7 linked regions of the Oryctolagus cuniculus genome follow. The protein of the gene in region 2 interacts with the protein of the main gene of each other region in a pairwise test. Links are inferred from orthologs where the notes say so. Each region holds a gene or a part of one and is shown on either strand. Other genes may lie near its edges. The genes, in order: WDR83, HSPB1, PELO, NVL, PPM1A, FXR1 and BAG3.

Evidence for each region.
Region 1: the proteins of HSPB1 (region 2) and WDR83 interact in binary tests that used the Homo sapiens proteins (3 or more experiments, as listed by UniProt). The link is inferred for Oryctolagus cuniculus from reciprocal best matches to the Homo sapiens genes HSPB1 and WDR83.
Region 3: the proteins of HSPB1 (region 2) and PELO interact in binary tests that used the Homo sapiens proteins (3 or more experiments, as listed by UniProt). The link is inferred for Oryctolagus cuniculus from reciprocal best matches to the Homo sapiens genes HSPB1 and PELO.
Region 4: the proteins of HSPB1 (region 2) and NVL interact in binary tests that used the Homo sapiens proteins (3 or more experiments, as listed by UniProt). The link is inferred for Oryctolagus cuniculus from reciprocal best matches to the Homo sapiens genes HSPB1 and NVL.
Region 5: the proteins of HSPB1 (region 2) and PPM1A interact in a two-hybrid assay, tested with the Homo sapiens proteins (2 studies listed by BioGRID and IntAct). The link is inferred for Oryctolagus cuniculus from reciprocal best matches to the Homo sapiens genes HSPB1 and PPM1A.
Region 6: the proteins of HSPB1 (region 2) and FXR1 interact in a two-hybrid assay, tested with the Homo sapiens proteins (2 studies listed by BioGRID and IntAct). The link is inferred for Oryctolagus cuniculus from reciprocal best matches to the Homo sapiens genes HSPB1 and FXR1.
Region 7: the proteins of HSPB1 (region 2) and BAG3 interact in binary tests that used the Homo sapiens proteins (3 or more experiments, as listed by UniProt). The link is inferred for Oryctolagus cuniculus from reciprocal best matches to the Homo sapiens genes HSPB1 and BAG3.

Annotation. Positions count from the first base shown.
Region 1 is NC_091447.1:62,229,279-62,233,461, forward strand, and holds the start of WDR83 (WD repeat domain-containing protein 83), read left to right. Parts: upstream 1-1,383; 5' UTR 1,384-1,436; coding exon 1,437-1,539; intron 1,540-1,630; coding exon 1,631-1,751; intron 1,752-1,859; coding exon 1,860-1,965; intron 1,966-2,165; coding exon 2,166-2,214; intron 2,215-2,300; coding exon 2,301-2,427; intron 2,428-4,183. Other genes in the region: WDR83OS (PAT complex subunit Asterix), read right to left, coding at 1-13, 811-916, 1,041-1,090. UniProt on the Homo sapiens protein: Molecular scaffold protein for various multimeric protein complexes. Acts as a module in the assembly of a multicomponent scaffold for the ERK pathway, linking ERK responses to specific agonists.
Region 2 is NC_091450.1:44,266,199-44,269,597, forward strand, and holds HSPB1 (heat shock protein beta-1), read right to left. Parts: upstream 1,949-3,399; 5' UTR 1,787-1,948; coding exon 1,426-1,786; intron 967-1,425; coding exon 903-966; intron 792-902; coding exon 602-791; 3' UTR 501-601; downstream 1-500. UniProt on the Homo sapiens protein: Small heat shock protein which functions as a molecular chaperone probably maintaining denatured proteins in a folding-competent state. Plays a role in stress resistance and actin organization.
Region 3 is NC_091445.1:73,605,688-73,607,963, reverse strand, and holds the end of PELO (protein pelota homolog), read right to left. Parts: intron 2,200-2,276; 5' UTR 2,150-2,199; coding exon 1,424-2,149; intron 1,125-1,423; coding exon 693-1,124; 3' UTR 501-692; downstream 1-500. UniProt on the Homo sapiens protein: Component of the Pelota-HBS1L complex, a complex that recognizes stalled ribosomes and triggers the No-Go Decay (NGD) pathway.
Region 4 is NC_091444.1:38,403,478-38,406,977, forward strand, and holds part of NVL (nuclear valosin-containing protein-like), read right to left. Parts: intron 1,733-3,500; coding exon 1,498-1,732; intron 1-1,497. UniProt on the Homo sapiens protein: Participates in the assembly of the telomerase holoenzyme and effecting of telomerase activity via its interaction with TERT. Involved in both early and late stages of the pre-rRNA processing pathways.
Region 5 is NC_091451.1:10,259,571-10,263,566, forward strand, and holds the start of PPM1A (protein phosphatase 1A), read right to left. Parts: upstream 2,801-3,996; coding exon 1,967-2,800; intron 1-1,966. UniProt on the Homo sapiens protein: Enzyme with a broad specificity. Negatively regulates TGF-beta signaling through dephosphorylating SMAD2 and SMAD3, resulting in their dissociation from SMAD4, nuclear export of the SMADs and termination of the TGF-beta-mediated signaling.
Region 6 is NC_091435.1:98,750,804-98,754,847, forward strand, and holds the start of FXR1 (RNA-binding protein FXR1), read right to left. Parts: upstream 2,801-4,044; 5' UTR 2,472-2,800; coding exon 2,421-2,471; intron 1,828-2,420; exon of another isoform or gene 1,689-1,827; intron 1-1,688. UniProt on the Homo sapiens protein: mRNA-binding protein that acts as a regulator of mRNAs translation and/or stability, and which is required for various processes, such as neurogenesis, muscle development and spermatogenesis.
Region 7 is NC_091446.1:11,066,323-11,070,253, forward strand, and holds the start of BAG3 (BAG family molecular chaperone regulator 3), read right to left. Parts: upstream 2,801-3,931; 5' UTR 2,518-2,800; coding exon 2,332-2,517; intron 1-2,331. UniProt on the Homo sapiens protein: Co-chaperone and adapter protein that connects different classes of molecular chaperones including heat shock proteins 70 (HSP70s), e.g. HSPA1A/HSP70 or HSPA8/HSC70, and small heat shock proteins (sHSPs), e.g. HSPB8.

The sequences.
Region 1 (4,183 bases), on a different chromosome or scaffold from region 2:
CGCACCACTTCAGCTGGGGGAAGGCAGGGGGCCGCTGCTCAGGATGCCAGGGACCCGACCCCACCCCCGCCCCAACCACATTCCACACTGTGCGGGGCGGGGGACGGTGGACATTCGGGCAGCAGGGACGGCTCGAGCACTCGGGCGCCTGCCGCCTGCGTGGGAGACTTGGATGGACTGCGCGCCTGGCTCCCGGCTCCCAGCTCCCGGCTCCCGGCCCCAGCCCAGGCCCCGCGATTTCTGGCATTTGGGAAGTCAATCAACAGACGGCGATCTCGGTATGTCTGTCTCTCTGCCCCTGTCCTCCTTTCACTCTGCCCGCCCTCCCTAGATCCCAAATAGTAAGTAGAAGATCTCATGCATACTTTTTAAAATGATCCCACTTTGTCCAGTTGGGACCCTACCCTGCCCCCCGGAAGTGGCTCCACCCCCCCCTTCAGAGGCAACGCCAGGTACCCAGCTCCTGGTTCAGTTCCCAAGCTTGTGTCTCTGACCCCACCGAGTTCCCTGAGGCCCAAGAATGGCCTGAGACATCGCCCCATGCTGCCCACCACCATCATTTTTTCCAGAAATTTCTTCCAAGTTGCTTCAAAGGCTGTCTCCACCCTCAGACGGACCTGCGAGGCGCCCCAAGCTGACTCTGAGGCCCCGCACCTTATCTCTGGCTGGCCTCAGGCCCCGCCCCTCTCCGCTGGCTGGCCTCAGGCCCCGCCCCCCGCCGCTGCCCGGACGCCCCGCTTCCACCGGATCCTGCCCCCCCGCCCCCATTCTCTGGCTTAGCCACGCCCACGGGTACCCAGTCCCGCCCACCTTGAGCATTAGACCGCACATGCTGAAGATCATGCCCAGCAGGTTCATGTAGTCTGGCGTCGGGTCATCCAAGGCCGGGTTACACTCACTCGGCGGGGGCTTGTACCTGAGACACGCTCAAGAGTCAGGGACACTCAAGTCTCGCCCCCGGGACAGGCAGGCGGCTCCCTTGGCCCCGACCCGCACCCAAACCCGAGACCCGTCACCACAACGCTGGGGTCCTCCCTCACCTCAGCACTTTGTTGGGCCTCCGTGGGTCCGACATATTGTTGGTGGACATTGCGCGCGGAAGGGCCAGCTGGCGTCTCTTCCGCTCCCGGAGCCGCCGCTTCCGGTGCGGGAGCGGAGGATGCCTTTTAGAGTAACACCCACAGCCCTGACGCTTCCGTTCCACACCGCAGAGGCCAGGACTTTCTCCAGGCAGAAGGGGAAAAAAACTAAACGACACCCAAAATATTCCTTGAAAATTGGAAGTGGTATGGGGGGGTGGCTTGAGAGAGCGGGCTTCGATATTCTCAACATCAGTCACCACAGTATTGAAGGCTTGAATCCGGAAGTGAGAAACCGGAAATCGGTATGGGGGACAATAATAAGGTGACACCCAAGCGCGCCGGGACCGCGGAGCCATGGCTTTTCCTGAGCCGAAGCCGCGGGCCCCCGAACTGCCGCAGAAGCGGGTGAAGACGCTGGACTGCGGGCAGGGGGCCGTGCGGGCGGTGCGGTTTAATGGTGAGCGCCTCCTTCGTGTCGCGGCCTCCTCCCGCCTCCTGAGGGTCTGCGGCCCCATAACCGCTCCCCGTCCGCGCCCGGTGTTCCCCAGTGGACGGCAATTACTGCCTGACGTGCGGCAGCGACAAGACCCTGAAGCTCTGGAACCCGCTGCGGGGGACGCTGCTGCGGACGTACAGCGGCCACGGCTACGAGGTGTTGGACGCGGCCAGGTGAGCCGCGCGGGCTGGGATCGGGGAGCGCCGAGGCCAGGATCGGGGTGTGTTGGGGGGGGGTGGACGGCCACCTTCCCTCCGCCACCTCCTCTTCCTGCCCTGCAGCTCCTTTGACAACAGCAGTCTGTGCTCCGGCGGCGGGGACAAGGCGGTGGTGCTGTGGGATGTGGCATCGGGGCAGGTTGTGCGCAAATTCCGAGGCCATGCCGGGGTGAGTGCAAACCGGGAGACCCCCCTGCCCTCCCCCCAACCCCAAACCCTGAGCCCATGGAGGGTGGACGGGACCGCCACTCCTGACAGCCTGCCCATCAGCAAGCCCCGCCCTCTCACCGCCCCCACCCCCTAGGCTGTGCCCTTGCCCCAGTCCTCCCAAAGTCCAGCCTCCTCTGAGTGGCAGTTCTTGTTTCTCAGAAGGTGAACACGGTGCAGTTTAATGAGGAGGCCACGGTCATCCTGTCTGGTGAGTCTGGCGCCTTAGGAGTGAGGGACCGAGGGGCCATCCCCACCCCCTCTATAGGTGACCCCCATTTCACGGCGGCTTTGCAGGCTCCATCGACTCCAGCATCCGCTGCTGGGACTGCCGCTCAAGAAGACCTGAGCCAGTGCAGAAGCTGGACGAAGCCAAGGACAGCGTCTCCAGCGTGAAGGTGTCGGACCACGAAGTCCTGGCAGGGTGAGTAGACCCTTGGTCTTAGTATATATATTTATTTGAAAAGCAGAGTTACAGAGAGAGCGGGAGAGACAGAAAGATCTTGCATCCACTGGTTCCCTTCCCAGCTGGTTGCAACGGCCGGAGCTGCACCGATCCAAAGCCAGGAGCCAGGAGCTTCTTCCAGGTCTCCCATGCGGGTGCAGGGACACAGGACTTGGGTCATCTTCCACTGCTTTCCCAGGCCACAGCAGAGAGCTGGATCGGAAGTGGAGCAGCCAGGACTTGAACCAGTGCCCATATGGGATGCCGGCACTGCAGACAGTGGCTTAACCAGCACACAGCACTGGCCCCGAGACCCAGGATCTAATCCTTCCCAGCCATGCCATGGACGATCAGAGCTGCCTCTGCACCTGCATCAAAATCTGCTTTCTTCCTCACCACCGTTCATTCACAGCACTGTGCAGTGTATGCCTCCCCCACCCGCCCAACATGGACCCCTCGGCGTTTTGTTTTTTGTTTTTTGTTTTTTTTTTTTTTAAGATTTATTTTTAGGGGCTGGTGCTGTGGCATAGCGGGTAAAGTCCCCAACTGCAGTGCTGGCATCCCATATGGGGGCGAGTTCAAGACCCGGCTGCTCCTCTTCTGATCCAGCTCTCTGCTGTGGCCTGGGAAAGCAGTAGAAGATGACCCAAGTGCTTGGGCCCCAGCACCCGCATGGGAGACCTGGAAGAAGCTCCTGGCTCCTGGCTTCAGATTGGCACAGCTCCGGCTGTTTCGGCCAACTGGGGAGTGAACCAGTGGATGGAAGACCTCTCTCTCTGCTCTGCCTCTCTGTAACAAAAAGAAAGATTTATTATTTTTTTGAAAGAGTGATAAAGAGAACTTTCTTTTAAAAAGATTTATTTATTTTAGGCAGAGAGAGAGGGCTTCCATCCACTGGTTCAGTCCCCAAATGGCCACACGGCCAGGGCTGGGCCAGGCCAAAACCAGGAACTTCACCCCAGTCTCCCACATAGGTGGCATGTGCCCAGCTGTTTGGGCCGTCTTCTGCTCCTTTCCCAGGCGCGTCAGCAGGGAGCTGGGTCAGAAGCAGAGCAGCCAGGACTGGACCACAACACTGGCCCCAGCTGCAAGATCATTTTAATTGGCTTTATATTCTATTCTAGAATTGGGTGAAGCTTTTATTCCGTAAAATAGGATGAGAGCTCCTATGAGCTAAGCAGAGATTGGTTTTATAAACAGGGAAGAACAGAAGGCAGATTGGATTTTCCAGGGATGAGACTGTGGTCTAGCAGGTTAAGCCACTGTCTACAACACCGGTATCCCCTCTGGGCATTGGTTCAAGTCCCAGCTACTCCACTTCCCATCCAGCTTTCTGCCATGGCCTAGGAAAGCAGTGGAAGATGGCCTGAACAATTGGGCCCCTGTACCTGTATGGGAGACCCAGATGAAGCCCCAGGCTCCTGGCTTCAGCATGGCCCAGCCCCAGTGGGTGGAAGACCTCTCTCTCTGTAACTCTTTCAAATAAATAAATATTTAAAAATCAGTAGAAAAGTAACTGCTTAGTTGAGTGCCAGGTTATATCAGGTTACGTTTCTTGCCTCTTTGGGAAACTTGGCTGTTTCCTGGTTCTTTGGTTTTTTAAACATGTATTTATTTATTTGAAAGTCACAGTTACACAGAGAGAGGAGAGGCAGAGAGAGAGGTCTATCATCCCCTGGTTCACTCTCTAAATGGCCGCAATGGCTGAAGCTAGGCCAGTTCGAAGCCAGGAGCT
Region 2 (3,399 bases):
TTCAGATCCGTCGGGACCCTCTCCTTAAGTCTAGGGAAGAGGCTGGCAGGGAGGGCCAGGCAGAAGAGGGAGAGGGCTGAGGGGGTGTGGCTGTCCCCGCCCGGGCAAGTCAAGGCAGCTCTGCATATCAAGATCACAGCCTTCCGGACCAACACCTGGGCCACACCCCCTTCCCCCTGCGCACGGTGCCCAGGGGCAGGGGCAGAGCCCATGCCGCACCAAGGGGCTGCCCAGGTGGGCTCAGTCACCTGGAATTGCCTGCTTCACCGAGGGTCTGGGAGCTCCGGGCAAGCGCCCTCCCCTACTCCTGCTCAGTTCCTCCTCACCTGGGACAGGTGCGTCTCCTGGGTTTGCAGACTCCCACACCTGGCCCTGTCTGGTTGCAATCATTCCCCTTCTCCATGGACAGGAGACCCCTAGGGTCGTCTACCCCTCTGTGCCAAAATGACGCCATGTGACCCGCCCCTCCCCCCTCCAAACACCAGGGTCCCAGGCAGGAGCAAGCAGCTGCTTTGAACTTTATTTGCGAAGACCAGAAGCTTAACAGTATCAAAAGGGCACGCAGGTGGGTGCTGGGGGCTGGGCGGCGCGCGAGGGCGCTCTACTTGGCCGCAGGCTGCTCGGACTTCCCGGCTTCCGGGCCGCCGATCTGGGCGCGGGCCTCGAAGGTGACCGGGATGGTGATCTCCGCCGACTGCGTGGCCGGCTTGGGCAGCGGCGCTTCCACGGTGAGCGTACCCTCAGGGGACAGCGAGGAGGAGACCAGCGTGGGGTCCACGCCGGGGGGCAGCCTGGACGCGGCAGGGAAGGAAGAGGGCAAGAAAGAGTTAACACAGCGCTGGGCGGCAGGGGTCACTCCTCCCCGGGTTCCCACCCCCTAGCTGGCCAGGGCCAGGACTCACGTGTACTTCCGGGTGAAACAGCGGGAGATGTAGCCGTGTTCGTCCTGTCGCTCTTCGTGTTTGCCTGGGTTGGGGGGGTGCAGAGGGAGGTCAGAGGTCACGGGAAGGGGGCCCCTCCACTTGCTCAGGGGTAGCTGGGGCCCCAGACAGGCACAGCCTGAGCCAGCAACTGCTGGAGACTGGCAGGGGGTGTGGCGTGCGCCTGACTGTCGGGACCCTCAAACTTCTGGAAAGTTCCGAGTTTGGGGAGTGGCCAGCCGCGCAGGCGCGCGTGGGGCGGGGCACACGCCCCCCCCCCCAGTCTCCCTGCGCGGTCCTGGGGCGCTGCTGATTTGGGGCGGGGGTCTTGGCTGGAAGCAGCGCCTCTGCCCCCAATAGAGGGACCCTCAGGGGCAGCCCGCACCGCTCCCCGCCGTCCCCTGCGCCCCTGCCGCGCCGCGGGCCGGGGCGGCGCTCCGGCGGACTTTTAACTCCACCCCACCCCACCCCACCCCCGGCCCCTGCGCCCCGGCCCGGGGCTCACCCGTGATCTCCACCACGCCGTCCTTGGTCTTGACCGTCAGCTCCTCCGGGGCGAAGTGGTTCACGTCCAGGGACACGCGCCAGCGGTCGGCCGTGTGCCGGATCTCCGAGACGCCGCTGCTGAGCTGCCGGCTGAGCGCACGGCTGTAGGCGGGCGCGGCCACGGCGGGGGCCTCCGCGGCGGGCAGGGGCCGCACGTAGCCTGGCCAGCTGCTGCCGCCGAACCACTGCGCCCACTCCTCGGGCAGCCGCGGCAGCCCGAAGGCCTGGTCGAAGAGGCGGCTGTGCACCGGGTACCAGTCGCGGAACGGGTCCCAGCTGGGGCTGCGCAGGAGCGAGAAAGGCACGCGGCGCTCGGTCATGGTTGCGGTGCGCGGGGCAGGGGCGCGGAGAAGTGCGGGGCTGCGGCCCCAGACGCGCTTTTATGGGTCTCCAGCCGGGTATTTTTAGCAGGCGGTGCTTCGGGTCTCTATTAATGGCAATGACCAGCTGGGGGCTGCCCCGCCCCCTGAATTCCTCCCCCGTGATTACAGGGGCGGGCCGTGGAAGGTTCTGCCCACATCTGGAACCTTCTCCGGTTTAGGGAAGCGAAATGCGTGGCTGGAGCCGCGCCCACGGCCGGGCCCTACAGCCTGCGCGCTCAAGCGCAGTGGCCGGCGGCCAGCCCGTGTCTTTTGTGGAAGACCCAGGGGTCACAGGAGGTTGGGTGGTCCCAGAGTGACCACGGGGGGTCCCTGGGGCGGGGCGCATGCTTCTACCACCAGGCGGGCTGGCTTGTGGCAGTGAGGCTCCTGCCTCACTTTCCCCATCTGGAAAATCTGGCAGCGAAAATGCTTGGTGATTGGGTTAGCAGGGAATGCAGTGACGTCATGCGCCTGCTGGGTCATCCTGGTTCGCTGTCGTCATCCACCTGGAAGGGGATGAGGAGGCGGAGTTGGTGGGGTCTGGCCTTTCCCCCCTACCCGGACCAGAGACCTCCAAGCTCTAGCGCTGAGAGAGAGGGGTCTGGAGGAAGTTTGTTGTTCCGGCTCCCTGCTAGGACCTGGCTTCCCTTAAACCCTGGCCAGGGAACCTCAAGTGCAGCAAACTTGAGAGCAGGCGGGGCTTGGCTCCCTGGCTTCCTGCTGTGACTAGGGGCAAAATCTCCTTGCTGGGCCTCAGTTTCCCTTTCTGCAATTGATGGTCCTCGGGGCGCAGGGCAAGGGGCCTCCACGTGGTACAGTTCACTCTAGCTGGCTGTGAGCCTGGACACCCCACCCCCTCCTGCCCCCTCTCACACACCCCCACTCGCCTCATCCATCTGACACACACCCCACCCTCCCCTGCCTCCTCCATCTGACACACTCCCACCCCCACCTGCCTCCTCCATGACACACACCCCCCACCCCCACCCGCCTCCTCCATCTGACACAGTCCCACCCCCACCTGCCTCCTCCATGACACACACACACCCCACCCCCACCTGCCTCCTCCGACACCCCCCTCCCCCGACTCCGCTGGCCATCCTTTATACTCCACAGTTGCTCTGTCTGCACTTCACGGGCACCCCCTGTCCAGCCTGCCTTCTCCCCTGGTAGACGTTCTGTGAGAGGAACCTAAAGGTCCAAGAAATTGGGTGACAGCCCTGGTCTTCCCTAAAACTCAGGCAGGGTCAGCCTGTGGCCCTGCCGCTCCCTGCTTCCTCTCCCAGACACACACGGGGGCTGGGGCTCCCCACCCACAGCAGCCAGACTCCCGGTCACTCACTGCTGAGAGGCTGGGGTAGCAGGAAGCCCCCTCCCCTCTCTGAGCCTGTTTCCTTTCTTTTTTAATTTAATTATTTGGAGGCTGGTGCTGTGCCGTAGAAGCTCCTGGCTTCAGCCTGGCTGTCGTGGCCGTTTGGGGAGTGAACCAGCAGATGGAGGGTCTCTCTCCTTTTCTCTCTCTCTATTTGAAAGACAGAATGAAAAGATAGAGGAGGACGGCCGGCGCCACG
Region 3 (2,276 bases), on a different chromosome or scaffold from region 2:
CCTCAGTCTCATCTTAAAAATAAAGAGGTTCATAGGGATTATCTTCAGATTCTCCAGAACAAATCTCTAATCTGAAACAGTTACCCTCTAAAGCAAATATGATTAATTCTAACAACAAAATGCCAAGTGTTTACTTATAACATGATGGATTAAACAAGTCTCTTAAGAAAAATACCATTTTAAACTGTACTCAAATCTACTAACTGTTTCACTACTACTTAAAATTGTCAACCACCCTGCTCCCCCAAAAAAAGTCTGGGGTTGCTGGGGAGAAAAGGGATCATTAAATATAATGCATGAACATCATGTAGAATTAAAATTATATAAACTGGTAAAACGCTTTTCCCTAAGGAAAACTATTACAAAGTATGCAGATTTTATGACCCATCCCAAACAATATACAGCCATGTTTATTAACTATGTAAAATCTTCATATTAAAAATAACTCATAATGCCCATATAAAAGTATCCCAATTAATAAAGATAATAGTACATGGAGATTATTTCCTTTTAGTTTATTATTTAGTCTGAATACATGTCCTGCTGACCATAAAACACCCAGTGCAACCAAACACAAGAGAAATTCCTGAATGAATCAAAAAGTGTCCCTCTTGCAGCTGTCACAAGGATGCTAAGGAAACCTAACAGTGGCAGAGTGAGACAGAGGGTGTCTTAATTCCAAGTCTCACTCATCAATCCTCTTCAGAACTGGAGTCATCCTCTTGGTCGGAGAGCTCAGCCACAGGGAAGCGAAGAATGGCCGCTACTCCAGTCAGCTGGCTGAGCTGCTCCCCAGACACATGAAGACTGGAGAATATCCTGACCGTGCCTGCGTTCTCCTTCACACTGTCCACCAGCTTCACATACCGGCTCCGCGTGGCTACATCCTGGTGCCTGAAGAGCTCATCGCTGATGAGCAACGTGTCGATTGCCATGGCTTCGTTGGCCTTCTCCACCTGCTTGAGTCCATAGAAGGCTCGGTCAGGTTCGTGCTGTAACATTTTATAAAAGTCATCCAGGGCTTTTACTTCCCCAGCAGCTTTAGTGTCTGAAAGGCGGCTGGCTACGGTAGGGTCACAAAGGGCCTCTTTCAAGGAGTACTTGTGTCCAGAGGAGGCATGTACCTAGAATCACAATTATCAAAGTTAGACAAAAGCAATCTCTCCCAACACCCGTTAACCAGCCCACACCGACCTAAAGCCAAAGACATTAATTAGGCTTTGTATGTTCAAGGACTTCAACACAGTTCATTAAATAAATCTGCGAGCTATTTTACCGCTTCTTTTCATCTCCTTATCTCATTTACAATCCCAACCAACCACAGGACTTTCTTTCACTTTCCCCAGCTCTAAAACTTCAGGGGTGTTTTTTCACCAATCCCTCCACCCTGTTCTTAATCGACCCCGGGTTAGGACTGCTTTACCTGAAGGAATTTGGACCGGTTTTCGAGGAGCACTTTGTTGTCAGTCTTCACTGCTTGCTGAAACATGTAGTCGCAGAATTGCTCCCTCACGAACCCCGGGCTGGCCACCAGGATGCACTTGACGACGTCAAAGTGTATGTGGCGCTGGATGGCCTGCACCACCTGCTCGTAGAACCGCTCCAAGGCCCGGTCGTGCTGCGAGCAGTTGCCTTTCCTCTTCCTGGGGATGTTCACCTCCACCTTGGCCCGGGTGAGGGTCATGCTGGGAGTGACTAAGCAGATGTGGGCGAGGCCTTCCTGCATGACCACGGCCGCCACATCAGCGCTCCAGGCAGGGTCGCAGGCCTGCTCGATGCGCTCCAGAACCACGCTGTCCCACTGCTTCTTGGCCAGGGTGAACTGGCGGTTGGGCTCCAGCTCGATGGTGTGGTAAGCCCCCATCTTGACGTACTCGTTCTCTTGGATGTTGGTCCCCTTGACCCGCAGCTGGCAGGCTTGGGAGTCGAAGTCGATGGCCTCCACGCACAGAGTGAGGGTGGTGCGCACCCGGTTGCTGCCCACGCTGCCCGTGGAGGACTCGGTCTGCACCTTGCGGATGGTGGAGGCGCGCAAGCTGTCGCCCACCTGCACTAGGTTGTACGTGTGCCACATGTCCTCGGGCTCCTCGGGGACCAGGGTCACCTGGCCCGCGTTGTCCTTCTCAATGTCCTTCCTCACGAGCTTCATGGCCTTGGCGGGGGCTCACCGACCACACGAGAACCGAAGGGGGTCGCCCCCTAGGAAAGGGACAGGGAAGGGGAGGCTAGGCCGGGAAGGGGGCGGGTCCGCTTTCTACAAGTACCTGCCGGGCGGG
Region 4 (3,500 bases), on a different chromosome or scaffold from region 2:
TTTTCATTGACCACAATAGCACAAGCTGCCAACAGAAGCTTCTCCCAGGTCCTCTTCAGATTTTCCTTCTGTAGATGTACTGTTCCATTTGGAAGTCAAAGTTGGGCCACCTAGGTGGGTTCCTGCTGCAAGGAATTTGAAGAAGTCCTCCTCCTTCATTCGCAAGACATCAAGGCTCTGAACATTATGACAGCTTCCCCTTAAGTTACACCAGGAATCATGAACAACGCCATATGGGTCCCTTGCAGGATAGCGCAGAAAGGAATAAATAAATCTTAAATATATATATATATTTACTTGAAAGGCAAAGATAAAGAAAGGGAGAGAGAAAAATAGATCTTCCATCTGCTAGTTCACTCCCCAAATGGCTGCAATGGCTGGAGCAGGGACAGCCCAAAGCCAGGAGACTGGAACACTTCCAAGTCTCTCATGTGGGTAACAGAGGCCCAATTACTTGGGTCACCTGCTGCTGCTTTCCCATTTGCATTAGCAGGGAGCTGGATCAGAAGTGGAACATATATGGGATGCAGATGTTGCAGGTGGCAGCTTAACCCATTGTGTCACAACACCAGCCCAGTTCGTTTTATTCTGAATGGATCAAATACCTTGGACAAGTATATGTACACCAACTATAATCCAGTAGGTAGGAAGATATCTGTATATTACATTTGGGTGACATACAGCAAACAAAAGAAATTAAAAACACTTATTTAATCAATCATGATATTTCCCATTTCATTTATATTCATGAAGCAGATGTATTTTGATGAAATCACAACAAAGTTACTCTGGTACTCTTCTTTCATTATATGCTTTCTTGATGGCTTATCAACTTAGCAGAGATTACGCAAATTTCCTAGCACTATTGAATCTTGATGTTCAAAGGCAGGTTTCTTACTTTGTGAAAAACACGCAAGGAAACATAAAAAAAATTTACAAACTGAAGTAGTTCAATTTGTAAATTCCCAGATTATCATTTTATTTTAAAAGAAGTTATTTGAAAGCAATAGCAAGATTCAAGTCCCTGTTTTATAAAGTAGAGGCTATGTGACCTTGGGCAAGTCATCATCTCAGGCTTAGTGTCTTTGAGTGTAAAGGGGTAAAATAATGTATTTACTTCACAAGGTTATATGGTTCAAATTATATAACATACAGAAGCCATGGTACAAAATATAAAATGCTATATAAATATTGTATTAATATTCCATAACTTAGAAAACTTGAAAAATTTACTAGTGATCTTGGACTGATAAACTTCCCTCTCACATTCAGAAAACAGCTCTCTAGTGCTGTTTGTAGCTAAGGAGCTGGTTTCGTCAGCACTTTCCTGCATGCCGAATCAAAAGTTAACCAGGAAATAAACTTAGACGGCAGTGCTCTCAGAGGAGCTGCTAAACTTCTGTAAAGGACTAAATCTCATCTGTACTGACTTGCTGGAATGTGAGATAACACAGAGAACATTTAAAGGGCAGGTTCGAGGGCCTTCACAGAAAGCACCTGTGTGACAGAAGTGGGCTCAGTTCCCAGTGGCTCCTCCTGGCCAACTTCAGTTTTCAGATGTTTCTGCTGCTGTTGCTGAAGCTTCATTAGGCCCCTATTGACGGCACACATGGCAGCTTCCCGGCAGAGCGCCATCAGATCAGCACCCACAAAGCCAGGCGTTAGGTGTGCTAAGTGACAAAAGTTAAAGGTTTCAGGAAGTCTCAGTTTTCTACACAAAGTCTGAAGTATCCTGTGGAAAAGACAGGGAAAATTTTTCAGATTCCAAATTAATAGTAAAAACAAGCCACCAGCTATATTACTCTGAAGCCTTTCATCCTCATCAGGGGCATCCCAATGGGTAGCATGTAAGATCAGATCTCATTCATTCACTCCTCAAACGCTAAACGCTATTACATAGCCCCTGTTATTCAAGGATTATGGCAAAGAATTTCCTTTGTTAGGGACTACAGTAATTACTTTGAGGAATACAGATCAATTCTTTTAAAAAACACTCTGCCTTTAAGAACTTTGCAATATGACAGAGACGAAGTAATATGAATAAATTTATAGGACTATCTTTAGAGTAGATTAAATCAACATCTACCAGAAATAAAAGCCTCGACATGCAAATAAACTATTTGAATAAATAAAATGAATTTAATAAAAAAATTAATTTCATTATCACAAAAAGCTAGCTTCATACATGCTTTCACATCCAAGTTTGTATTAGAACAATTACTTCTCCAACTTCATTTTAATATGTTGTTCATGCCTTGTATTGCATGCCTAAAAAATTATTTTTTAAGATTTATTCAGGCCGGTGCCATGGCTCACTTGGCTAAACCTCTGCCTGTGGTGCCAGCACCCCGGGTTCTAGTCCCAGTTGGGGCACTGGATTCTGTCCTGGTTGCTCCTCTTCCAGTCCAGCTCTCTGCTGTGGCCCGGGAGTGCAGTGGAGGTGAACCAACAGAAAAGGAAGACCTTTCTCTCTGTCTCTCTCTCTTTCTGTCTAACTGCCTGTCAAAAAAAAAAAGAAGTAGTTCAGCTGGGAACAGACCTTGTGGCACAGCAGGTGAAGGCACTCTTTGAGATATCTACATCCCAAATGTGAGCCCCAGGGACTGAGTTCTGCCTCTGCTTCTCATCCAACTTGCAGCTATGATAGTCCATCTTTTTAAAGTAATTTAAAAGATTTTTGAAAGGTTTATTTATTTAATTGAAAGGCAGAGTTACACAGAGAGAGGAGAGGCAGAGAGAGAGAGAGAGAGAGAGAGAGAAAGAGAGAAAGGTTTTCCATCCAATGGTTCGCTCCCCTGTTGGCTGCAATGGCCGGAGCTGCACTGATCTGAAGTCAGGAGCCAGGAGCCAGGAGCCAGGAGCTTCTTCCAAGGCTCCCACGTGGGTGCAGGGGTCCAAGCCCTTGGGCCATCCTCTACTGCTCTCCCAGGGCAAAGCAGAGAGCTGGATCAGAAGAGGAGCAGCCAGGACTGGAATGGGTGCCCATATGGGATGCTGGCGCTTCAGGCCAGGGCGTTAACCCACTGCACCACGGAGATGGCCCCATAAATAAATCTTAAAAAAAAAAAAAAAATCGATCTCTCCCCCACTGCCTTTCAAATAAGTTAAATGAATTTTAAAAAATTCCTTAACTAAATTTCTACCTCACTACTTAAACAGTACTTCCCGAGACATACTCTGTTACTGAGTCCTAGTTTTGGCTACTATTGGACATTTACTGGCTTTACAGACATTCAACCCCAGTTCCAGGGAAGGCTGATCTTGCTGCATAGACAGTTAGCTTTAATTCTCTGGCTGTCATTTAATTATTTTTCAGGGCTCCCGTGGTCTTAGGCAGGCTCAAGTATAGAACTCACATTGAACTTCTCTGTGGAACACATGGCCCTGCTCTTTCAAAGCTCTAGATAATGTCCCTAAGCTGGTCAGTCAACTAAAAATCACAGCCAATGTTGATAAGACCACACAGGTGAGTATGGACACAGAAGCCCATTATCACCACT
Region 5 (3,996 bases), on a different chromosome or scaffold from region 2:
TTGCTATGCAGATCTCTGACAAATTTACAGTTAAAATAATTTACAATAAATTGTGGGGTCAACACATTTGCCTCCTAAGTAAAATATGGAGTTAGAAGTAAAACTATATACATTAACTTTATAAACTACCTTTTAACTATCATTATAAAAAATGACCTTTTAGGAAATATATTCAAAGATACCCGAGTATTCAAAATGATTTAATTAAATGATTGAATTGATGGTGGGGCCTCCCTCTACTCTCCTTCCTACTAGGAAACTGGAGTTAACTTTTACTTTTTAAGCATTTAACTCAGGTATATGGAAAAGACTGATCTTCTGTATCATTAGCTTAATCAACAAACAAACTTAAGAAACAGAAAAGATCATCAGAGGAAAATTGTATAAGATGTGACAAATGTTAATATGTTTGCTAATTTTTAAAATAATGCAGAGGAGCTAAAAAAAAAAGTGGAATCTAAGGTATACTGTGTATTTGCACTCAAGAAAACTGTTCTTAATTTACCTAACAAGCATTTAACTCTCAAGCAGTGCAGAATAAACTCAATAAATGATACTTTCCTACAGACTAAAGGTGACAACATATGTGCCTTAAATCATATTCAGTTCTCCTGAAATTCAGAAACTGACCGTATGCACTATTAATAGAGCTGTTACTCTATTGATGTCAACATATGCGTTGGATATCACAGAAATCAGGTATCAATTAAGTCGAGTTGCTAGTGTGTCTATAAAACCATACAGAATGTTGAATTTGAATCTCTGAATGTTAAATCAAATACACGAATTTTATAAAATCAATGTGTTAAAAAGAAAAATCAATAAAACCACCACTGACAAAATACAACAATAAGCCATAAGTAAAATGTCAAGATTTTCTAGTTTTAATGCTGCCACTCAAGTTGTATAACCCTGTTTGAGTCATTTATAACTTACCTAGGAGAGACAGCAGCTTGTATAGAGGACGTATTATATGTTAAACTAGACAACTTACATATTTCATTCCAGCTCCCTGCTAACATGCCTGGGAAAGCAGCGGCAGATGGCCCCAAGTACTTGGGTCCATGCACCCATGTGGAAGACCTGGAAGAAGCTCCTGGCTCCTGGCTTTGGAATAGTCTAGTCCCAGCCCCGGCTGTTGCAGCCATCTGAGGAGTGAACCAGTGGATGGAAGGAAGATCTCTCTGTCTCTCTCCCTCCCCCCTCTCTGTAACTCTTTAAAAAAAAAAAAAAAAAAAAAAAAAAAAAAAAAAAGAGTATAAGAGTACAAAAGTCTACGAGGTAAGCCTTGATCCAGGTCTGTCTCACTATAGAACAAAACAGCCAAACTAGCTCATCTATGGATATGATCCCTTCTGATGCTCCCAACAAGCATACAGGACACAGTGTGAGAGTATGTCTTACCCTTTTCACAATTAAACTGATTTTTCCAGAGAATTTAAATCACTTACCTGAGTTAGAAACAGTCTCACACCAATTTCTTCTGACTCCATGTCCCAGGCTATTTCTATGACATCACACCAAATGCTCACTAAGTACCTTTGCTGGTGCTGATTCATTAAACCAAAGTCGAAAAGTACTTCCACATATGTTCTGAGATATCACATGGCAAAAGTATTAAATTTCTAAAATGTTTTTTCACTTGTATGAAAGCTAACCATCCCCATCTTCCTTCCTTTAAAAGAAGCATTCTAATATAATCTTTTTACCTTTGATAAACATCCCCATTATTAGAAGGTTCCAAGTAATCGTGGTTACTAAAAGACCAGTCAGTTGACAACTTGCATACATGATAATGGGGTAATTTACTTCTAAAAAGTGTCCCTGTATTTTCATAATAGATGAAGAGTAACCTGCAACTGTGCTAAAACTTACTTTTGAGAACCGCAGGTTACAGAATGATTAAATACTAATTAATACAACATAAATTGTTTTATGCTTAAAAAAAAAAAAAAGGTCTAGCTACCTTATACAAACAGGTGTCGACTACTTCATTGCAAACTTTCTCAAGGTCATCAGTGACTTCAAGTCTGGATCTTACAAAATCACAGAGCTCTTCGTTTCCCATGACATCCCAGATACCATCACATGCAAGGATAATGAACTGATCATCTTCTTCAGATCTTTCAATGTCATGGACTTCAGGCTCTGGAGAGACAAGCTGCTCTGTAGGACCTTTTCCATGGACACACTTGTAATCAAAATCCCCAAGAGCCCTCGATACAGCCAGAGAGCCATTCACACGCTGAATCATGACAGAGCCACCTGCATTCTGAATTCGTTCTTTTTCCAGCGGATTACTTGGTTTGTGATCTTGTGTGAAGAAGTGAACTTTCCTGTTCCTACAAAGTAAACCTCTTGAGTCTCCACAGTTAATGAAGTAAGTGTGCTGGGGTGAAATTAAGACCCCCACCGCTGTTGACCCACTCCTATCTGCACCGTGCTTCTTCTCGGACATAACTCGCATGTGTTCATCAATCTCCAGAAAACCTGTTCTGATTCCATTCTTGACGTTTTCCACAGACGGTGCTCCTGCAGACCCTTTAAAGTCCTGGTTATTGGTGATGTGATCTAACAAATGCTCACAGCAGTACTTGGCAACCTGAGAACCAGCATGCCCATCATACACAGCAAAGAATGACCATGTTTCAAGTCCACTTGGCAAACCGATCACAGCCGTGTGTGCATCCTCCATTTCCACGCGCCAGCCTTGCATGCTGCTTAGCCCATATCGCAACCCATTACCCTGCCCCTGGGCATTATGCTTTTCCATCTTTGGCTTGTCTAAAAATGCTCCCATTATGTCTTGATCCTCTAGTTCTGCAAAGGAAAAGAAACAGGAAAGTCAATCACTGCCTTATCTTTTCTGAAGATACAGCAAAAGTCTTAGACAAGTACTCACAACTCTTACTATAAGCAGACACCTGTGCTGTTGACTTACAAACTGGACACTAACAGGGAAGAACTGGGGGAGAAAGGCTGATCACGCACAGCTCAGAGTGGACCGCAGGTAGTGAGACCTAAAGCGTGGGGATGAGGGGAAGCTGATAAAACAATCTCCCTGATGCTTGGGGTAGAAAGGGGACCTGACAGTGGCCATCAACTTGCACGAACCGGGACAAATGTTTAAGGATATACTGCACCTTTTCTTAGGGTATCTCAGAACTAACTCGTATGTGTATCAATCAAGAAAAGACAAATAAATTCACAGGACATATAAGAATCCTATTAATTCAAACATCTTAGTTCCACGTTTAGGAATTTCCAAAGTTTATCCAAATTACCCGGTTCTATTCCCACTACATGAATCCACTGAGAAAGTAAAAAAAGATCTTCTTACAATGCTCACAATTGGCATACTCCTACCTTTACTCAAGTCAGCCTCCTTTACTGGAATCCCATGCTCCTCCTCTCTGCTTACAGAAAACAGTATAAAGTCTGGCTCAAATTCTACCTCTTCCATGAGGTTTTTCAGTCGTTGATTAAAAAAGTCTTTAATACGTTGTTAAATTACTATAAATGGCCCAATTTCAACTTTCTGTTGTTAAGATTTATTTATTTATTTGAAAGGCAGAGTTACAGAGATGGACAGAAAGGGAGAGAAAGAGATCTTTCATCCATTGGTTGACTTCCAAAATGGCTGCCAACGGCCAGGGTGAGGCTAGGCTGAAGCTAATAGCTTTAAGGGTGGCACAGGCCCAAGCACTTGGGCCATTTTCTGCTGTTTCCCTAGGCCATCAGCAGGGAGCTGGATCAGAACAGGAGCAGCTGGGACATGAACTGGTGCCCACGTGGGATGCTGGCACTGCAGGCAGCAGCTAAACACTTTGGGCTAAAACACCAGCCTGTCAATTTCAAGTTAAAAGCAATTATACAAACCACAAAGCTTCCTATACAAATATACCAAAATTAATCTAATAATCTAATAATCTAAAGGCAAAAACACATTACTATTATACTCTATTTGACCACCATGTATAAATAGTAAAGGAGATC
Region 6 (4,044 bases), on a different chromosome or scaffold from region 2:
TGTACACCCAAAAAAACTTATTCTACTGTATATATATTAAATTTTTAGAAAATCGAATGGTTAAAAACAGTTGCTGTGTGACAAGTCAACTTGCTTTCTAAAAGCACAGTTTTGTGGAATAAAAACTGGGAATTATTGTACTACTTCAAATCTGCCATTTACACACAAGACAATAGCCTTAGACTAGTTCAGGGATCCACTGGAAGACAGTGGTAAACTTAATACAGACATAAATTCCTATTTATTTCAAATCCAGACACTCTACACTTTGCCACTATCCTTCCAGATTTCTAAAGATTACAACTTCCACAAAGTATATGTAGAAGTGGATTTATAGCAGAACATGAAATTTCCAAGGCTGAAAAGCAAACATTTCAGTACACATATGTAGCTAGTCTACTTCCCAACCTTTGCCAAAGTCACACCTCACTTTGTTGAGGCAAAATGGGCAATGAAATCTCAGAACGAAGATGTGTATGGATGAGGATCAGTAATCAACACTTCAGAGGTCCAAATGGAGACATGATTTAGTGGATTGAAAAGAAAAATACCACAAGAAACCAAAGACTAACCAATCTTATAAAATAAGTGAAGACTTATTATGTTGACAGGCTACCTGCATGAGGTAAAATGTTAAATCAAAATAATCGTTTTCAATTTTTCAATATGCAATGAAAAAAACACATGCCTCTCTTACACAAGAACTGCATAGCCCAACAGTGAGAATCTGAAACTTTTCCACTGGGGAAAGGGATGGTGATGATGCAAACTCCTCTAGACAGGAAAAGTATGGGCAAGTTCATTCTCTGCACCTTCTGCCCAAGCTTCCCATATCGGCTATCTGTTCAGAAAAGGAAACCACTTGGTTTCAGAAAGAAATGAAGTAAATGAAATATCTATTCAAATTTCACTTAGGTAGCTTCTCTGATACCTACTTTTAAACCTGAAATAACTAGACCTACATTACAGGGTGATACTAAACACTCCGTTTCAACGTGCACTGTTTCTACTTTATGTGAACCATCTAAGAAAATTTAAACTTGTTAAAGACTGTTGGGGGGGGGGCTTTATGATTTTCTGCTATGCTTTTACCTCGTGACAAGCTAAACCAAATACACAGAGCCAATCAGTAAATCAGGAAAGGAAAAACAAAATGCTGAAAATAGGAAATCATGACCACTAAGTAAGAATAAATTATTTATGGGATAAAGGGTTCGCCGAAATGAAGACCTATGAGAATTCACTCTGCGTAGGCACAATACTCATCTATTACAAGGCAGCCCTTCATAAAAATAGCCAAGACTCTCAAACATTTGAGATGCTGGCTTAGTGAGATTGACTGACAGACAACAGCTGGGGAGATTTTGTATTGATCTTGTAACCTCCTGGCATACTTTGGAAGAAAGAGAACTAAGAAAAAAAGGAGTGCTATAATGGTGAAAATTAAAAAAAATAATAATAAAAACACCACGGTTGTGATTAAATTTAATTTCGTAACCTTTTACATTGGAAGCCCCGACCAAATTCCTCCACTCTCAACCGCTCTTCCGTTTTCCAACCCGATTCCATAGTAATGCATCTCCTTCCTCCAAAGGCAACAAACAAAAAGAACCTCGTGGGGGGAAGAAAAAAAAAAAAGGCCGCACCTTACCAAATAACTGACAGAAATTAACCAGTCGCCTCCTCACCTGTCTCCCCCGTTCAGCTCACGTTTTAAAGCTTACTTTAAAGCCTCGAACTCTCGCCTTTTCTCCGGCAACAGAGGGGCTGAAGGCGCCGCCCAATTTTCCAGGCCGCAAAAAATATTTCAACCCGCCACATTTCTAGGTTTCCTACTTTTCTCTTCTCGATCGTACCCCTCAATCCAGGACCCCTTCCCCTCGCAGACACGGTTCAGACTGGGGGCCCCAAATCCTAATAATACAAAGGTGAATTCCTAGGATTCCGCGACGCACCCCCTCAGGAGGTGGGGAGGGGTCCGGAGGAGCAGGCAGAGGAGCTCCCGCTCAGCCCAGTCCGAGGGGCGGGGGAGCGGGTGTGACCACACAATCCCACCGCCTCCTTCCTCGACTGCCCACCTCCCCGCGCTCGGGCCTGCTCCCAGGGAGCTCCTCGCCGCCGGCAGCCATTGGGTTTGTCCTCGCCGGCCAGCCAAGGACAGCATGAAGACCCTACAAGAAGGCTCCTAAGTAGGAAACGGCAAGAGGCGTCCGATGTGTTGTTTCAAAACATAACGGAGCCCGGGCCCCCGAGACCGTTAAACCGCGGGTGGAGGGAGGAGAAGCGAGGAACCCAGCAGTCGCTGGCTTTGGCTTGGCCGCCCTCTTCGACCCCAAACCGCATTCTCAGGGATCACCAACCCTCCCCTAAGCCCGCTCCGGCCCCCAGAAAACCCGACAAAGCGGCGAAAGGGTCAGTACCTTGTAGAAAGCCCCGTTGGAGCCGCGAACCTCCACCGTCAGCTCCGCCATGTTGGAACCGCAAAGGCCGCTGGGAAGAGATTCTAGAAACTTTCCAACCAGAGGGGAGGAGGGGGGAGGGGCGAGAAGGAGGCGGGGGGAGGGGTGGGGCAAACAGGGCGGGGATTGGGATCCCCCGCCCCACACCCCTGGGGTCTCAGCGTGCCGCCCCGACTCTCCAGGTGGGATCCCTCCGCTCCTTACATCACGCGCCCCGGGCTCCGCCCGCCGCCGCCTACGCCCAGCTCGCCTCCCGACACAATCGGCCGACCTTTGCTGACCTGCGCCTGCGGCCCCACCCCGCGGCGCTCGCTGCTGGCCCGGCTCCGGCTGCCGGGACGCGAGCACCTCACGCATGCGGCGCTCAAACTTCTCCAAGTGCTAGCAACCCTCGAGTGGCTGCCCAGCTGGCGAAGAGCAACTTTCGGGGCTCCCGTTGCCCACTGGCGCAATTTCTTGAGGGGAGAGGGGAACCTAAAAAAGTGCCTATTATTGGGCTGTAAATTCTTTCGACCTTTTTTTTTGTTTTGGTTAAATCTGACTTTTCTTCGCTCAAATTCCACAATTCCACACTCCCTCAGTTTGACCAAGCGCGGTCCCCACCTGTTACCACTTCAGCTGCTTAAATGGCAGTGTTTTCCTTGCAACGTGGCTGTATTCACAGCCTGGAGCCGAGTTGAGGTTAATAGCCATTATTAGAGGTAGTCAGGGAAACTTAGAAGGGCGGGAAACGACGCTTTCCCCTGCTGCAACCCCTACCCAGTTTAACAGGGTCAAAGCAGAATTATTTCGTGTGGCTTTTCTACCAGAACCTACCCTGCTTCTGTAAGCATTATACTAGAGATACTCTAGTGTTTTCACCACTTAATATTCAAACTTTTTATTTCCCCAAAGCAAGGCCTCTGGAAATAAATAATAGGGGCTCTTTTGTGTATGTGTTGGTACACTTGTTTTACCATGTTCACATGTAAGTTAAACAAGATGCTTTGCTGGCGCTCTGCTCCGGATGGAATGCCCAGTGTTCCAGCTTTTGGAATCCCTCACTACACACACAAATGTATAGGACACTTGATGAGCACTTCAACATCTCCAAAGGTTCAGGAAGGAAGCTGCAGTGGGAGGGTGGCTGCAAAAGGGCTCAATAGCCCTATGCACGTGATGTTCCTTTTATAAATGTTGCTCAGGTTAGGGCAGGCACTATGGCACAGCTGGTGAAGCTGGGGCCTGGTTCCAGTCCCTGCTGCTCTGCTTCAAATCCAACTCCCTGCTAATGCCTCTGGGAGAGCAGCAGAAAATGGCCCCAATACCTGGGCCCCTGCCAATCACATGGAAGGCCAGCAAGGAGTCCCAGTCTCTTGGCTTCCATCTATACTGATCCCCCACGGCTGCAGCCATTTGGGGAGCAAACCAGCAGTTGAAAGATCTCACTCTCTAATCTCTCTCTATTCCTCTGCCTTTCAAAATAAATAAATAAAACTTTTTTTTAAATGTTAAGTAGGCAAAAATGTAAACTAAATGCCCATCAAACTAAATGAATCACACCATTTAAGGGCTTCGACCAACAAAGTGTATGTCATCTCATGAT
Region 7 (3,931 bases), on a different chromosome or scaffold from region 2:
TGAACGTGAGGGAGCTCCCGGAAGCTCAGCTCACCTCTGCCAAAATCAGCCCTTCAGGCCATGTCCCTTTTCAGGAATCCATTTTTTTTTTTTTTTAAGATTTTTTTTTATTTACTTGAAAGGCAGAATTATAGAGAAGGAGAAAAAGAGAGATCTGCTGGTTTACTCCTGAAATGGCCACCAAAGCCGGGGCTGGGCCAGACTTGAGACAAGAGCCAGAGGCTTCCTCGGGGTCTCCCACACGGGTGCAGAGGCCCAGGCACTTGGGCCACTCTGCTGCTTTTCCAGCCACACTAGCTAGGAGCTGGATTGGAAGTGTAGCAGCTGGGTCTCGAATCAGTGCCCATGAGACACCAGTGTCACCTGCTACGCCACAACACCGACCCCAAGAACCCAGTTTTTAATGTAAAATTGGATGGAAGGCATTTCCACCATATTTAGTCTGGAGTACGGTGTACCTAATGTAAGTGAAACTGAGTGAGTCACCCCGATATCAAAGCGCAGGTCTGAAATAATGAGGCCCCAACACTGCATGGGCTGAGTGCTGGTGTTCTCCCGCTGCTGCACGGACAAATCCAAGCTGCTAATTTGGTTAAGAAAACTCCTCTTGAGTTGATCACGTTGAGCCATCAGAATCCAAGCAAACACACACGGTAGAGGTCAGTGACCCCATAACAGAGAGGACACAAAGATAATCGCGTAATCAAGAATTCCAGCCCGCATGCGTCAGTTTCATAACAATTCAAGCTACTTCTGACTTCTTCCCAACGGATCCACACTGCCTCTTAGTAGGCCTTCCCACCGAGCTCTCTCCTTGCTTTTGGAATTAGCTGCATGACCTTCAAAAAACACATGAACTTGTTGGGTTTATCAACTGAAAAGAGGCTGAACCAAATGATCCTGGAAGATGTCTCAACTTTAGCATTCTGGTTGTTTCCTATTCAGATCAACTTTTCCAGTGCTGGACTTCTGACTTAGTTATTATTTTCTATTTGTTGAGAAGGATAATAGTAGCTCAACCTGTTTTTCCCTCCTTATAAAGGTTTATGAAACCACAGCCTAACCCTATCCGGCAGTGGGTACAGAAGATCACAACTTGCTGGGTAAGTTTCAAGTTGAAAACATAGTGCTGGCAACCAGTATGTTCAAACTTGATCTTCACTGGAGACACAGTGCCTGCAGATTCTGCCCGCCTGTGGCTACCTGTGGTCTAAGAGCAAGAACAGGGTCCCACCCTAAGGGTCTGGATCTCCAGAAAGGGGGCTGGCCTGAAAATAATGTAAGCTTCACCCAATAAAGGGCTGAACAGACACACACAAAGGTATATGTAATTATGCCCTTCCCAGTTAATTACAGCCTCTTACATCAATTTTCAGGAATATACAATTAATTTCTTGTAAATGTACAACTGCTGAATGTACACTATCTCCCTGTTGGGTACCAGAATTTTGTTAATATTTTTAAGAACAAAAAAATAAGGCAGACAATACATGTCTTTCTTCCAAAATAATGGTTTATAAAGCATTTATGATGGGGCGAGTTTAGAAGTCTTCAAAATAACTTACCAGCTCTTTACTGCATTTATTGTGCCTGGACTCATTCACTCTCTTTTTAAGTGTATGTATTTTCCCAAGCTTTTAATCTTGAAAACGTTCAGATTCACAGAAAACTGAACAAGCAGTAAAGTCAATTATCGTCTTCTAACGAACAAACCCGTTCCCAATCTCCTATTTCCTCCCCCTCTCCGCTGAGGGGGAGGGCGCACACCTCCCCGCACATGCGTAGGGGAGGCATACACCTGCCACCCTCGAGGCTCGCTCATCGGTTATTTGTGGACTGGAAGCAAGTGCGGAGTATCTGAATACCATAACAAGGAAAATTCTCTCCCTCCTTCTCTCCAGCGGCTGCCTAGGAAGGCAGCACCTGGCTTTTCCTCCCCACGGGTCGCACCAGAGGGCACAGCGGATTCCAGGAAAAAGACTCGAGACCCCCGGGAGCGGGGAGTGGAGTCAAGAAACGCAGAGAGGGGACCGTCGCCCACGCGGGGCGAACCCCCGGCCTCGGGACGCGAGGCCGAGCCGGCCGCACAGGCCTCCGGGGCTGACCGCTCCCCGAACGCCGGCTCACTGCGCTGCCCCCCGTCCCCGCTGAACGCGCCCGGGCGCCCCGGGGAACCGCGTTAGCCCCGACGCCGGCCAAGGGCGGGTCCCGGGAGGCGACTGGGCCGGGAGAGGCGCGTGGGGGCCGGTGTCCGCGTCCGGGGCGGCCGTCCTCGGCCTGCTCCCCGCCGCCGCTCGCCGTCCCTTTCGGGCCGCGGGCCCGGCGGCTCACCTTGGGGCCCTCGGGGGACACGCGCGGGTCGTTCCACGTCGTGGTGCGGCTGTTGTGGTCCACGAAGAAGGGCCAGCCCGTCTGCGGGTCGACCTTGATCTCCCAGCCGGGGGGCAGCGGGTCGCGGTCGGCGGCGCCGTTGCCGGACGCCATCTGCACCACGGGCGAGTGGGTGGCGGCGCTCATGCCGGGCGCGGGGTCTCGGGCCTCGGGGCGCACCGTCGCTGTGTGGGCCGCGGCCGGAGGAGAGCCCTGCGCGCCGCCGACGTGTCCTGGAAGCCGGCGCCGGGGACCTTTATGAATTAAAGGCGAGGGTGACGTGGCCGGAGAGGGCTGGAAGTGTCTGGAAATAGCCTCCTCGCTGCCAAAGGGGAAGGAGGAGAGAGAGGGAGGCAGCAACTGGCCGGCTAGAAACTTCTGGCCCCATCCGGAGAAGTTGGCGGCGCGGGCCGACGCGGAGCTCCGCCCTGAGTCATCGGCGAGGGGCGTGGCGCGCGGGGCGGGGCCTCGGCCGGCCGCTGGGGCGGAGCTCGGTCCCGAGGGCCGTCCCGGGCGACCCCGCCGCGCGTGGGCGGCTCCCGCGCTCGCGCCGCTTTTCTGCGCTCTGGGGCCCTGGAGCCCGCGCCGGCGCCCGCTGCGCCGCCTCCGCGACCACGCAAGGAAGGCATCTTTAATTAAGCTCGGGGAAGCCGGCCACCCCGCCGCCATCGCCGCCGCGGCTGTCCAGATCCCGGTCCTCGGGGAGCCCCGCGCGCCTTTTCCAGGGATGCCCCGAGCTCTCCTCTGGCTCCACAACGCGGGCGGGGAGAACATGGAGACTCACTTGCTTGCCTTCGGAAACCTGAGGAAGAGAGGTTGCAGCAGCCTCATGACTGAACTCCAGAAACTCAGTCAAAAACTTAAAAATCACATTCTTTCAGAGTTTGGGTTCGGGTTTTGTTTTTAGTGAAACGTTTTCCCTTGCACTTCTCAACTAGCCGGGCGGTCCAACGCGCCACCCTTGATGTCATCTATGATGTCACGAAGGTGGCGGCCACCACTGGCATTACAGCCCACAAACTAGCCAGTCCTCCATCCCTTCAATGGTTCCAGAGAGTTCTCTGGCTAAAGATTGGGGCGAATCTGCCAGGCAAAATCGACAAGTTGCTTCCCCTGTGTTAATAATTTTCTGGTTTCTTGAGGGTTTTGATGATCTCTCGGGAAGCAGAAAGGACTGTTCTGAGCGGTCAGTTTCACCATGATCCTCGGGCCCTTCCAGTCACTGGAAAGCCGCCACAAAACACACCAAACACCTGAGTTAGAAGGGTTTATGGTTGGGTGGGGGAAGCCAGAGAGTAGGAGAGGAGGAGAGCTAACAGAGATCCAAAGAGAGAAAGAAAAGGTCCTCTTAAACCTTTGCCCCAGGCGGGCAGGGAAGTAGGAATAGGGAATCCCATTAGGGTGGGGGTGGAGCTAACACCGGTGGCTGGGCCATGGGGTCGCCTGGCTTCCAGCAGTGGTGGGATGGGGGTGGGGCAGAACCCAAGATGATGGCGCAACAGATAAGGCTGCACCATTTTACTGTCACCGGTTGCCTTTGGGATGCTGTCACCAACCATCT